2 linked regions of the Neodiprion lecontei genome follow. The protein of the gene in region 2 interacts with the protein of the main gene of each other region in a pairwise test. Links are inferred from orthologs where the notes say so. Each region holds a gene or a part of one and is shown on either strand. Other genes may lie near its edges.

Evidence for each region.
Region 1: the proteins of membrane-associated guanylate kinase, WW and PDZ domain-containing protein 2 (region 2) and armadillo segment polarity protein interact in a two-hybrid assay, tested with the Caenorhabditis elegans proteins (2 studies listed by BioGRID, with this or other methods). The link is inferred for Neodiprion lecontei from reciprocal best matches to the Caenorhabditis elegans genes magi-1 and hmp-2.

Annotation. Positions count from the first base shown.
Region 1 is NC_060261.1:41,590,053-41,597,617, reverse strand, and holds the start of armadillo segment polarity protein, read right to left. Parts: upstream 4,525-7,565; 5' UTR 4,391-4,524; intron 3,518-4,390; 5' UTR 3,491-3,517; coding exon 3,454-3,490; intron 3,363-3,453; coding exon 3,132-3,362; intron 2,927-3,131; coding exon 2,132-2,926; intron 2,018-2,131; coding exon 1,749-2,017; intron 1,664-1,748; coding exon 1,322-1,663; intron 1,181-1,321; coding exon 1,007-1,180; intron 876-1,006; coding exon 573-875; intron 1-572. UniProt on the Caenorhabditis elegans protein: Required for cell migration during body enclosure and cell shape changes during body elongation. Plays a role in recruitment of the cadherin protein hmr-1 to adherens junctions.
Region 2 is NC_060264.1:36,468,794-36,476,061, forward strand, and holds the start of membrane-associated guanylate kinase, WW and PDZ domain-containing protein 2, read right to left. Parts: upstream 4,825-7,268; 5' UTR 3,855-4,824; coding exon 3,785-3,854; intron 2,574-3,784; coding exon 2,354-2,573; intron 2,254-2,353; coding exon 1,850-2,253; intron 1,698-1,849; coding exon 1,509-1,697; intron 1,087-1,508; coding exon 1-1,086.

The DNA of each region.
Region 1 (7,565 bases), on a different chromosome or scaffold from region 2:
ATTGGAATAATGGACAAAACAATAATGCAACAGTCTACTACGCTATTATCTACCAGCTGCTACTGCACGAAAATTTTCATGTGTCAAATACCTAATACGTTTTATGTAGCGAATTAAGCGAGCACTCAGTGCTGACAGGAGATTCACAGGTGTGGAATATTCTGCAGCTCTGTCACTTTAACTGTGGCTTCATTTACACACCATTCAATGGTTGATATTGGAAAACTGTCTCTCGTTTCCGCCCGTGTCTTTCTCTCTCTCTCTCTTTCGCTTTGTCTTCATCTTTTTCTGTCTCGTTTGAAACATGCTACTCTGTACAATACTTTTCCTTTGATCACGCATTACGCTTTGCACAATACGAATGAAACAGCGGCCCTCGCAACAAAAGGGAATAACACGTACATACCCACCCAAGTTATTAGAAGAGTGGAAAAACGAAAGAAAAGAAGGAATGTTCTGTCGATCCGGTGATATTCACGAAAAAACCTAGAATTATTTCAAGGCGGTTTGATGTGAAAACTAATAGAAGCCACAGTGCGAGTGTCTCGGATAAGAAAATGTGCTGATTTTACCTGTAAGTCTGGACCCATTCCGAGATCAGCGTTGTTCCAGAGGCTGGTGTCTTCGCGGAATAGCGAGTTAGTCAGCTCCATAGATAACCGTTTCTTGTAGTCCTGCGGCTTGTCGTCACTCATTCGGAAAAGCACGGCAGCTGCGTAAGTTGCAACGCCTTCGTTCCGCGAGTGAAGTAACTCAGTTAGCGGAGCGGTAGCTCCTTCTTGCTCAATCATTTCAGCCCCTTCCTTATCCGTCGCCAATTCGCAAAGTACTCCTGCCGCGACGCGTTGAATATTCTCAATCTCGTTGAACAGCAACTAATGTTCCATAAAGGTAAAAGGACATCGGATAAACAAAAGACTAATACTAATCTGTGATAAAGCAGGGTTGTGATATACATCACTACAAAGTAATCTGCAGATTATAAGTTGATCATTAGAGTACGGACCTGGACGAATATCGGTATAACAGTTTGAGTTCGAATGATCGCTCTGTTATGCGATTCTCTGGCTAGAATGTGCAAAGCTCCAACTGTGCCTTCCACAATTTCTTCCATGCGCACCCCATCTGCGTATGCTCCAGCTGCCTGTTGGCTTCCTGTACTAGCCACTGAGGATCTCTGCTGCAAGATAACGGTGATAATAAGCTCGATAAGTCAAGATCAACATTCGGCATGTGACGTGACACTGTATTAAGCGTTCTTTTATTTCTGTGTCTAATACGTTAGATTGAACAATCGAGACATAATTATAAAGGAACATACTCGCTGAGTATCCTGGAAAGCGCGCATGAGGAGCCTAACCAGATGATGAATAGCGCCATGTTCGCGTAACGGAGCATGATTCGCTGGGCACAGAGCCAGATTACGAATAAGGCCAATAACAGCCTTGACCAACGGCCAGCGCGAAGGCGGATGCAGAAGCTTGACTATGACCTGAATGCCGTAGTTCAAGCGGACCGAATTTTGGGCCATTTCGGCGTCGACGTGACGCGAAGTTAGATGACGGAGAGCACAGACTGCTGGCTCTGTTATCTCCTCGCGATCACCAGCGCTGACAATAGTGCGCACAAGTGCGTCGACTCCCCCAACTTGACACACTGTGACCTGAAATAAGTTTTTAAGATACTTTTGTGAATATTTTGCTTCTTCACCTCATTTATTTCCTTACTCTGTAAGAAATTTGACGCACCTTGTTGCGTTGATTGTTGCATGTCAAATTTGACAAAATACCGGCTGCACATGTGACAACGTTTACGTCGCTTGAAGTCAGCACCTGCACTAATCCTTGCAGCAGACCCTCCAATCCGTCAACTTTTGTTCCTGCGTCAGAGAGATTTCGCAGTGTCCACAAGCAATTCTGAACCAGTCTTGGACTCGAGTTTCCAAGATGCATTGCCAAGGCTTGCATACCGCCAGCTTCGACAATTGCTGGTTTGTTGCTGGAGCACACCGACAGCACTGAGGAAGAGAAGAGAATACATATTGAAATATGATTGTTGCGTAAGAGGTGGCAGGGATAATTTCAGTGAATATTGTCTATAAGTCCCTAGATATTGTTAGATTGTATTTTACCCTTCAAGACTCTGGAGGTTGTCCACAAGAGCTTCTCATACTCATAAGAGCGCATAATTCGTACAAGTTCGATTGGTCCCTGAGAAGCGAGGATGATCAGCTTGCTTTCTTGATTGCCGTAAGCGAGAATTTGGAGACAGTCAGTTACAATAGCCAAAAATTTCACGTTGTTACGCTGAAGAAGAGCAACCATCTTCTGCAGTCCACCGGCAAGACGTACGGCCATTTTAGAACCGTCTTGGTGAAGCAGCAGATTGTGAAGCGTGGTTATGGCGTAGAATAATACAGACTCTACTGGTGAACTCAACAGCTTAACAAGAGCAGGGATACCGCCACTTTTGAAAATAGCCAGAAGCCCTTGTCTGTGGTGAGACAAATTGTGCAGAGTTCCGACCGCAGCTTTCGTTGATTCAAGATCATTGCTGTTTGAGATTGCTCGTACAAGAGCAGCCACCATTTGGGGACTGTTCATAATAGCGTGTCGTGAGGCTTCCTTTTTAGACAACTGATGCACCATCATAGCAGCTTGCGAAACTATAACCTGATCCTCGTCGTTGAGGAGCTTGATCAACTCTGGAATCGCACGAGTTGCCAGATCTGCATCATCCTGATAGTTGATCAAGTTGACCACTGCGTGCTTCAACATTTGGCTTGGCTCTGCCAGTCTTTGAACTGCGGTTGGTTGCGCTGGATCATACTGTGTAGATGGTATCTCAATACCCTCCTCTAATGTTTCAGGGAACATTGCTGCGCGTACACGCTGTGATCTCGTGTGGCTCAGTTGTTGATTCATTTCTGTTGAAATAAAAATGATTGTTGAATATTTTAATTGAATTTTACAAGATTCGTTAACACGTACTCCTCGCTGTTTACAACTTGACAGAATTATTTTAAACTGAGGCTGAAGTTTGTAGTAATTTCAAGCAGGAAATAATACTCCGTAATATTTTGGGTTTTTTTCTTCCATATGTAATAAATATTTCAATAATATTTTCCTCACCGTCGACTTGGTCCTGTGTGAATCCTTGAGCGAAGCCCTGATCCAAGTCGAACATGAGTTGGTCTCCCTCTATATCGTCATCTTCCTTTCCTGACAGAGACTGCGCCTGAGTCGCAGCCCCTGAGTGGATTCCCGAGTCGCCCATGTAGGAGTTTTGTTGCCACATGAGAGTCTGCTCTTTGGCAGAGCCCATCGGTAGGTCTGCCGGGCCTTGATAGCTGCCGTGCGACACTGGAAGTTACGAATATAACAGAAAATTGATTCAACTTCAAATCGAAAGGCCCTAAGGTCAGACCTGTAATTCAAATCAGATGGTACTTACTGGGTCTAGATTGATTCGACGTCATTTGATAACTCATGGCTCCAACGGGCGAAACACTCCACACCTGCATAAAATGGGGATTATTATGTAATTTTGTATCAGATCGATCGGAGTAAGTTTAGTATTGAATGTGTATTACGCAACAGTCTAAAATGTCACAAATTACAACTAATGAAAGCACGTCTTTTTTTTGTTCAGAGACACCAAACTGCATATAGATATACGTACATATGTCTAGCTGCTATGTAACTTTCATTCTTATGCAAATTTGACAACAGACTCATCGCTCCTATGATTCATATTACCAGCTAGCTAACGATTGTGAGATAACAAGTATCTCGTAATACGCACTTGTAATATTTAGATTAACACCAGTGTATTTAATCATACAGATATAAAACATATATCTGATCGAAGCAGAAAAATGTACAAATGTATGATAAAAAAAAAATAATAAATAAAATAAAATACATGTCTACCACAATCCTCAAAAAACCTATTCACGCTAATAGCAAAGCGAATAGTACAAGATGCACGCAGGTGCACATATCCGTTCGAGTAAAGCGATAGGTAGGTAGTTTTTTTTTTTTTTACTCTCCCTTCTATTTCTCTTTTTTTTTATTTTCCATACTTAATTTATCGACGAAACGCCGGGGATCATACGAACTGCTTTAGAGGGTGAAAAAGGACCGATAAAGCGTATTAAACGAGTGTGATACCCGGAGTGGGCCAAGAAACCGAAGCGTGGGTACGCGTGGGTGTTGCGGCACAACAAAGGGCTCAAGAATGCAATGCATCACCATTTTCTGACAATCGGAAGGGGGCAATGGAAGCACTTTTGACACACCCAGGCGTAAACACGAAAATCGGGGATAATCAGGCCTCAGAGGGCGAGACCGGGGGCGCGAATAACGCAGGATAACATTGTTTCACTTACCGTTTACCAGAGGGTCGATAATTATTGTTATTCGTGCGAATATCGTCCGTCAAACTACGCGAGTGACTCACTTTACACCAGCCAGCTTCCAGTTCCCCCTTCCAAGCACTGCCTCCTCGCTCCGCCAACTAAACATGGCGGATCCAGCGGCCGCAGCGCGCCCTTTACGACGAGACGAGGACCTGCGCCGCGCAGAAAGTAGTCCCGATGTTTAGACGCGGTGATTAGAGTATGACACACTATAATATGACTCGAGTCGATATACTGTGCCGTGTCGGCGGTACAAAGCATGCGTGAAGTTTCAGCCTCCCGCAGAAGCTTCGGGGAACCGGTCAACGGCGCTGATTCGGATCATGGGACGATTGGGTAGAATTCGAATTGAAAAAAATAAAACAAACTGTCACGATCCGTAGAATCTTTGGGTTAGGAGGAAACCTTTTTGTGTTACTACGCCGATAGTGGACCGAGCGATCAAGTGCCGAGTGTTGCCACTTGACTAATTGTTCCATGTGCTCGAAATAGGCAATAAATTCGATGCCGTACGAGCCTCTCGACGCTCTCTGCATACGCCTTTTTCATCATTCACTCTTTGTCGGATTTTTTCATCATTCGGGTCTGAGGACATCGTTTGGAAATCGGAGAATTCCCAGCTGACTAAGCCGAACACTAATCGGCGGCATTGCGTGACTCCTATACGTACTACAGACTCTAGTCTACGGTATTCGGAGAATTAGAAAAGCGCGGTATACGCGTCAGAACTATTCCTTTATTTCATGTTAGCTTATGTTCTTAGTTTGTGACGAAATTCGCAGATGATAATTGACCGGGAAACTTCCCTCGTGCATCGTCCACAGGCGTAAATCATACTTTTATAAGGATTTAACATGTATGAATCTACATAATGTATAGGTATAGTAACAGTTATACCTAACTGGTTAATAAAGTTATTCTGTGTTAAATTCTACTGGATTTATCTCTCCATTTACATATAATAATCGTAAATATTTCATCTTTCAACAAACAGTCGCCCTGATGCCTACATCTTCTATAATCACGTGGCGTGCTCCATAGGGTTCGAGCTTAAGCAAACATACATGATTATGGCAACAAAAAGCCAGCGTTTGTAGATATATTTCAGATAAATGATTGTTCGTTTATTATCGATGGATGAGATATTTAAAATTCTGCGAATAACTTTTTTCTCCAACTAGTCTCGTTCAGATGAAATTGTATGATTTTTCTATTTTGCTTCTAAACGAAGGCCGCTCGAACCGCTCCCAGCTTTTTATGGTCAGAATCGACCCTTGCAGGGATAATAGGGAACCGCTATTTTACCTGAACGAAACGCGACAGCACAGAGAATTGCTTGAACTGCGCAGTTTGAAATCTAGCTAACTTTGTACAAGGAGTTGTTCCTTTTTAATCTCCACGTGGAAACGAGATAAGCCTGAGCAAGTTGACCGAAGAATCAACCGTGGAATTTATACTCTCGCGTTCCTGCAATTACCATTATTTAAGTAGCTATGCCGCGGTTTTACACGCCAGACTAATGTCTAGCTTGAAACTAAGTTGATTTATTATAGTTGTATTATAGCTGCGTAACATGACCGTAGTATAGTAACTCCAGAAATTTCAGCTACGTTTATCGCTCGTAATTATACCATTTTAGCAATTCTGATAGATTATCTCTTCGTTCTCAATTACAGCGATTCTATTTGCTCTTGAAAGTAACTATCGAAACGCTGCGAAGATTCTAAAATCGGCGCATGTTATTCTCGATCGGAGGTGCCACAAGCGCCTACACGAATGCAACCGATATAGCACGCGCGCTTGGCGTGTAGCGTGTGTCGCTCGTTAGGGGAGCGTTTCGAAACGAAATTTGTGTTATTACCGCACGATCGCGACAAAACGAAGTCGTGAGTTAAGCGAGACGTAAATCGGAGCAAAACGGACAGTCCGCTTTTCAGCACTTCAATTTTTCAAGGTGTTAGGCCCATTTAGTCAAGCCACTCAGGCTTCATGCCCGGGTACGCGCGTGTATCAACGGTCAAGTTTACGAGCGGGTGCCTCGAGTCCAGCTATGCATGGCCGGCTACAGATTGCGTTCGAAATAACAGACATCGACTGTTATAGTGCAAAGTAAAATGTATTGGCAGTTCGGCAGAAGAGCGCTATCAATTCTTATCAGCTGCGCCCATACCGATTAATTTTCACGAGCGTGATTGAGAGAGATTTCCCCTCGATACGTCGTCACCCGGTTAATGCTCGAATTCGCGCCGCTTTTAACGTCATCCCGCCGGTGGGCAGCGATAGATTCAAATATTTGACGGTAAACAGGAAATAGGAGACATTAATTCGCCATGTACGCGATCCGCGCGCATGATTTGTACACGCGTAATTCAGGTTTTCGTTTCTCCCTTTTTATTCGGGCCGTTTGTTTCTCCGCAGGCTGAAAGCCACGAAGAGACCCCAACGTGGGTATAATATGCGTGCGCATTAATATGCTCCGGATTTAACGTTGCTCAAGATTTGATCGAGTGTTCTATATCATCGCCCGTCGTTCGAGTAACCTCGGCCCACCCGGCGTAATTATATGCCTGTTAACGAATGAGTTATTGCTCCAGGAGGAGACAATCAGTGATTTATATTGACTCTTATTTGAGGGGTGGGGGTGGGGTCGGCTCGCAGCGTTCTCTGATAAGTGTCTCTGATAATATGCTAATAATGATTTGTGGTGACGGCGACTTCCGCGTTAATCTAGCTAAAGGCCTCCGCGCACGAGTCGATCGTCGAGTCGAGCAAAGCGAGGAAATTTAGAAACGCGCAGTGGCCCGACATTAAGCGTCTTACAGCGCTCCCCCGCTCTGCATTATATTTATCTCTTAATTTAACGACGCACGTTTACCCTGCAGCCCGCTGTGCAATGGGGTGACGTTACAGCGCAATTATAATATATTGCAATATGTATTTAACCGTCCATGGGATTCGTGACACGTCGTGGTTAAACGATGACGAGAATAATTACTGTCGAACAAGTTACACCGTTATGGGTCAATATTATTACAGTCTCGCGGATACGTCGAGCTTCCAGAGATCTGTAAAGAGCTCAAAAGTTCACAGGCATTTTAAAGCGTACTTACACGTACCTATAAACTTTCGTAATAAGCAATACCGC
Region 2 (7,268 bases):
GCAGTGATCCATCGAGACGAGGAATATCGACAGAGTATACATCAGTCCTTGATCCACCTTTGTCAATTTGGCTATCCTCTTTCGTGGCGCCCCAACATGGCTTGTCCGAACTTCTACCTGGTTCATCATCCAATTTGGCAAGAGCAGCAAAGGTCTCGGGTAAGTGCATGGTTAAATTCCCCCTGTACAGCGTGTCCTTGTAGTTCACAGGCTCACTTAAGTCTGCGTATCTATAACGGTGACCATTTATGGAATTGGAATCCACCCGAGTCTCGGTGGACCAGCCCAAGTTGTCTATTTCGGTGCTGGCAGTGGTGGGAGTCTTTGGCCTATGCCCCGTCGTTCTTGTATCAACTAACGGAGTCTTTGGCCTACTTGGCAGAATGGTCTTTGATAGCGTACTATAGAGGTCAGCAGTCGGTGTTTTGCTCCTGAATAGTTCTGCCGAATTTCTCTCCTTCTTATCCTTAATCCTGTGGGTTCTCTGGACATGGATAAGGGCTTCTTTGTTCCTTGGGCAATCCTTGAGCACTTGCACAACCTCTGAATGGCACATGTTTCTTACATTTGTCACATTTATATCAACCAATATATCACCTTCCATCAAATTTTTACAGCGCTGCCGGTCCAAGATCTTTTTCACTTTCTGTCCATGTGCCGAGTCTGCTATCGTGAAACCGAACCCCATTGTACCTTTTACAATCAATATGCTAAGAAACTCGGGCTTGGCAGGTGTTACCGGAGGCTGTTGTCGTTCCTTGTAAGGTCTAGATTCGTCTTCTCCGACTTCTTCATCCCCCTCATTATTTTCCTGCTGTACATCTCGTCCCACCATATATTCATCGCCATTGTCCTCATTCACACTTTCTCCCAGTAGTATGTCTGTACTATTTGGCCGCTTTATGGTTGTAACTTTATCAGAAATACAGAGATCAGGCATAGAATTGACGGACGTGGTTGCCAGATTTTCACTGTTCGATATCTTATGTACTGGTAACAGGTTTCCGTCGACATAGTTGAAACGATCATTAGAATGCATACTAGGATTAATGTCCATGTAAAGTGTTGGATCCTCAATCGGTACATCTGGGGATAAATGGTAGGCAGCTGATAATAGGTTGTATATGTAGAAACAATTGTATCATTGATAGAACTTTAAAGACAGGCAGCTTTACGGACCTTATGGTGCTAGACAAAAGTGAGTAAAGGGCATGGTCCAAATTTCAGGTAACTGCAATTACTCACTTACATTACAAAAGATTTTAACCAACGGTAAGTGCAATTATTCCCAGGCCCATCCAGGCACCTTGGTGCATCACAAGTATTCGCTTTGGGCTGACTGTCCTTAACTGTCTTTGGCCAATGCTTGTACTCATGGGCAAATGCAATATTTGTATAATTTATAAATCATGTATGAATCACTTATATTGCTGAACTGAACGTGTCTACAATTGACACGGGCTGACATCACGGAAAAATTGTTTTATTTATTATGTACACCAACTCACCTGGAGCATTGACTGCTATTGTGGTCACCACTTCAGTATTGGGATCGTTTGGATCAAAGGGCAGTGGGTAGCCACGGCATACCTCGATAGTGACAGTCTCCCCACTCGAAATAGATTTGAACACGTTTACCATTTCGTTGTGAGTATATCCAAGAACACAGGTTTCATTAACATAAACAAGAACATCGCCTTAAAAAAGAAGATGCCAATAGGCTGTTGTCAGATGTGGATGAATATATCGTAGCTGTGTAGTATCGCAGTCAAAAATAATAAAATAATAATAATAATAATAATAATAATAATAAAAGATTCGTGATAGGATAAATTCTGGACCCTCTTACCAGTCTGCAGCTTTCCATCTATCCAGGCTGGTCCGTTTGGCACGACACTTTTTATCTGAAGGAATTCTTCAATAGTGTCATCTCCACCGACAATAGTGAAACCCAGTCCTCTGGTACCTTTCAGCAGCGTACTACGTATTCTTAGCCCCTTTAATTTATCAGGGTTTCTAGTGAATACTGAACTTTTACAGTCTGTCACGCCCTGCTGAGCCCGTTTGGCTTGGAGTACTGGGTTCTCGTATTGGGTTCGCCGATTCACATGGTCGATAAAGTAGGTTCCGTACAAAGTATCATCTATTTTTTCCCACCCATAAGGTAGCTCGTCATCTAAACATTCTTCTAGGGAACGTTTTTGAAATTTGGACAACCTTGGATCAAGCCAGTGCGACGTGCCGCTGTTATGACTTGAATAATATACGGTAATAAGTTGACTAGCATCCTATTTGAGAAAACCATATGCAATATATTTTTACAAAATTTCTCACAACTTTCAGTATTACTTACTCGATAAAATACACTTCTCCAGTGTCAGTGTAGGCTTTCTCCCAATTGGATGGAAGGGGTCCTAATTCATCCTCAGATGCACGATCTTGGTTGCTATGCTCTTGGTCTAGATCCCTTGTAGTCTGGCCAGATCCTGTATTATAGAGATAACTTGGAGGTACCAGATGAATCGAACCATTTGCATTCCCAATTTTTTGAACTTCTTTGTCGCTACAACTGCCTATTGGTAGAGAACACAAACTATAATAATTTGAAATTGAAAATCCAGAAAAGACTCACTAATTACAGAAATGTTATTAAACGATTTTGCCAAAATAAAGTATCGTTGAACAGCTCTAAGACAGAATGCATCATCTTTGTGGCTGTTACAAGAATAACTCACCAAATGAGATAAACATACGCATTTCAGGTGATATAATATAAAGAGTTGAAAAATTTAACCACTTACGGATCATTTTCAATTTTAATATTAGATGGGATGCGCATAAGAATAATGTATTCGAAAAAACACTAGGTATTTTTTATGCGTTTTAGCAAACTGAGACGTGCAGCTCCATTTGTTTTATACGCTATTTATCATATACTTTTTAACAGTATCACAAACTATGGTTTAATCGTTTGGGGGAGGGGCTTATGAAAACACTATGGCTCCATTAGTTAATCTCCAACAAAGAATGATAAAAAAGTTACTCAAAATTATCTACTTCAAACCTTGCTTAATCCCTGTAATTTTTATATTTCAAAAATATTATTTTTAAATACAAGAATGTGGAAGAGATCTACCTCGCATCAGTTTTCAATCAGGTGCAAGGAAGCAACTTGCGCCAGTTCGACAAGTTACGAGAACAATCTACAAAAACAACCCGAAATATATGGTTGCTGAATATTTCAGCTTGTCATCTAATAATCTAAAAACTCTAAAAATTAAGACATGTACTGCAAAAAGAATGATTATGAAATGGCTAAATGAAGAGTGCATGCTTTCATAGCTTGATTATATGGGCTATCCGAAATCATTTGATATGATTATTGTTATTATTGTTATTATTTACTACTACTTTTGCTATTGAGAACCAAGGGTAATGAACTATGCTCTCTCTATCATTGTTTTTAAAATAGGTATTCATTGGCATGTTCTTCGTCTTTGTTCTATTTGTCTATAAAAATATTATTGAATGTATTTTTCATATGCCTATATGTATGTACGCGTGTGTATGTACGTATGTATAATTGTATTATTTCTAGTTCATACCCATGTACAGACGGTGTTTCATCTCTGTGAGATTCAGAGTGTTTACATTGTATTACTTTGAATTTTGACGAATAAATTAAAATTGCAATTTTTGTGAATGATACTGATTTGTCAACATGGACTACCAAAGTCTATAAAGGAGTTAGTAAGTCAGTAAATAATAGTTGGATTATTTTTACCGCAGTCAAAACCATCGTTGGAAAGAGCTGTGTTGCTTTGGGCAGCCATCTCGTGTTTTCTACCTAGCATATGATAGCGAGTAGCAATTATGCCTTTCTGATGTTTTTTAGGTACTGAGTGTTATCAGCCAAAACTGGTAGCTCCCTGACATCTCTTGGCCATATTCGTTGTTCTTGATGAATCAGCCAGATCCTTGCTCATAAAAATCAGCATCGCCGTATTTCTTTCATTGTCATAGGATTTCCGTTACGATATATCTATTTCAAATGCATTTTTGCACAATAAAAAGAAAATGCTTGCAGACCCGGATTGAAGTCTTTCACAGCTCGGTTGAATTCGTATGTACAATTGTGGAAACAAATTAAAGCAAGACTAACATTTCGATTGTAAGTACAAAACTCTGCAGGCATTGATAATTATTTGTCAAATGAAAACTAAGACGAAATAATTGAAAATTTTTCCGCACAAATTGAATGGACTTATTTCAAGCTATCGTTCGTGAAATTTACACAGACGTGGAGATGGTAGTGAGGAAATTGCGAGGCGAACGACTATTGAGATTCTGACAAATAACATACAAGTGTCAAATAAATCAAGCCAAATTTACTAAGCTTAAATCTACCTCCGCGAAATTGATTATTCAGAACAAATGCTTGTATGCTTGTTTCCAAATATGTGATCGACAATCTCATTTGTGTTGTTGTTGTTGTTGTTGTGTTGTTCCTGCTGTTGTTGCTGCTGCTGCTGCTGCTGCTGCTGTTGTGGTGGTTCTTGTGTCCCACTTGCCCAATAAAAGAGATTTGTTGATTTCTACAGTATGGCTACTCCCTATCGGTCTCCCCTTCCACAATGCAATAATATCCCTACTGGTTTGCTGAACAACGAAGGAACAAATATTTCCAAAATGAATCACACCGAAATCTTAGAACCGAGCTAGAGTAGACACGGTTTAGTACTCATCGCATATAAACAGCACTTGTTCCAGAGATATCGGGATTTGAGGTAAAAACATGAAAAGCAAACTCATTTGAAGAGAGAAGCACGGACAACGAACCTGTTGTCCGAAAATACTCGTTAAGTAACCGGTAGTTCCTATAGGTGGCGCTGAAGTCCCAAGAAAATGTAGGGCGTTGACTGGAAGATTGCTAGACAGGTTAGCAACGGTTATCATTTTAAAGCAAGGAAGAGGGCACGGCGGTGACGGCAGTGCTCTACAGTCAACAACCTGCTAATGGATCTTACCATGTAAATTTAGTCTGCAGGATAAAAAATGTTTATACCGCAGCTTCGCCACTGGCCTATATCTATGACTCTTCTACTTTTAACTGTTCCCTTGTCCCCCGCCATGGGGCCGATAGAAAAGAGAAAGGAGTACTCCCGACATATCTCTTTGCTGTATATGTTAGCTTCAGGGGCCGGATTCCGAACATCAAGCGAGTTCGAGTTAGTGAGTTCTACGGTTTTTAGTTCTGAACATCTATTTTTCTCTCCTTTCTTAGCTATCGCCCTCTATCAACAGCATGTGCCACTTCGTAATAATATTTAACATCGATAAGCTCTGTACCGACCGTGATGTTCATTAACCATCGACTATAATAATAGTATGGAGAGCGGAAAACCGTAGAACTAATTCGAACTCGCTTGATGTTCGGAATCCGGCCCCAGCAACGGCTTCAGTGCCCATTATGGGAGGAGTGCTCATAGTGCTCAGTCTATTGTCTATCCTTTAAGTGTATAGGTGGGGATGGGTTTCTTGTTGAAGCTCAAAAGTTCTGGAAATTGGCCGCAAAGTTAGAGCGCTGCAATCTCGTAGTACCCCAACGTAAACAAGCCCTTGTAATATTAGAGCACGCTTCAAGTAGCGTCAGCGATTGCTGTCGTGTGGTCATAAAAATTGATTTGGTTCCGATAAAAAATGTACCGTAATTTTGTTTGTTTGCTATGTTTTGATTATAAAATATAAAACTAATTTCAAATACAAGTGCTGTTCTGATTTATTATAGCGTTTACGAACGTTTTTGAACCCTAATAAATAACATGAATTTTGAACTCCAAGGTTACATTTAATTTTTACTTACTTTATTCTATACAGATTTCAACATATTCACAAACTGAATTTGTTGACGAACAAAATTGGTGAACTACTACACATTGAAGAAATCTAAAAGAAATAGGTTAGGTGTTTATTACTACTACTAGATTACAGCGCCTCTGTACTAATGGTAGGTTACCGAAACACACTCCGGGTCAATACAAGAGCCATGATCTTCAGTCAACATCAACCCCCTAACACTGCTGGGTATACCGAGTCCCCGTTAATGTACCTCGCCACTACGTGGCGTTAGTAGTCAACTGCTCACGATGCCGACCCTATTAGTTATACGAAGAATGGAAACTACGCAGAGAGCAGATTAATGAGGGTTGGGGAGTGGAAGGAGTAGATCAGACGACTTCTAGCACGTAGTGGCGGGAGGCATTAACGCGGACGCCCTGCTATAAGAGAATCTAGTCCAGGGTCAGGGGGCTGGTCAACACCAGTAATTCCAGAGCAGCCCCCTAACACACGCTGCTAAAAGTGGTTCGCAATATATCCCTCGATTCTGCCGCCAATCTCCACCATTAGTGGCACTAGTAGTTGTCTGACAAGCTTGCGTGCGGTCAGCGAGGGCAGCGAGCGTTTCAGAAGTCTACTAGCGCCACGTAGAGGAACTACAAAACGAGGACAAAAAGCGTACAATTTTTTAGTATACGAGCAGTGGTGAGTGTCAGGGGCTGTTCCAGTGTGTGACGTATGGTTCGTGGTTGATTAACGGCAACTATGGCCGCAGGGGTGAATAGCAGTTCATCGAAACGATGCCAGATGACGCTCGTGTCATAGGCGCAAGTATCGTAGATTTGGTGGAAAGGGCGCGGACCTACCCTGTTGTAGCTGTTACGAGCCTTGCCATGGCTCTGCCGCCGGTCAGTCGGAGAGCGACGACACTTTAACTAGTCGCATTCGGGCATTGATCCCTTGCTACCGCCGCGAATTGTTGATCTAATATTGTGCGATGTCTTTGTTTGCATTTTATGTACACCCACCCAGTGATCTAAGCGACTCAGCAATTAATTATATCATTTGAACCACGACAAGCCCTCGTTTCATCAAAGGTTCTCGCTTCAAAATTGTGCAGCCCCAATTATCAGTATAAGTATGTTGTGTGCATGAAGTCGAACATTTGGTTTTCCTATCAAAGAGACTAACGAGCGAACAGACGGGTAGAAGGAGTGAAAAGATAAATTCAGAGAGGAATTGATTGATTCGTGTGTCGTACTCGATTTTGTATCAATGTCACTGCAATTGGTGTTTATGGTATCATTATCGTTATATTCTTGGCGTTCTTGTTCTCGCTCCATCTGTTTTTATTGATATCGACGTGAGCAACTAATTCTGATGCTTTTCTTTTATTACATTATCGTTAGTTACACTAGCAATAAAATCAT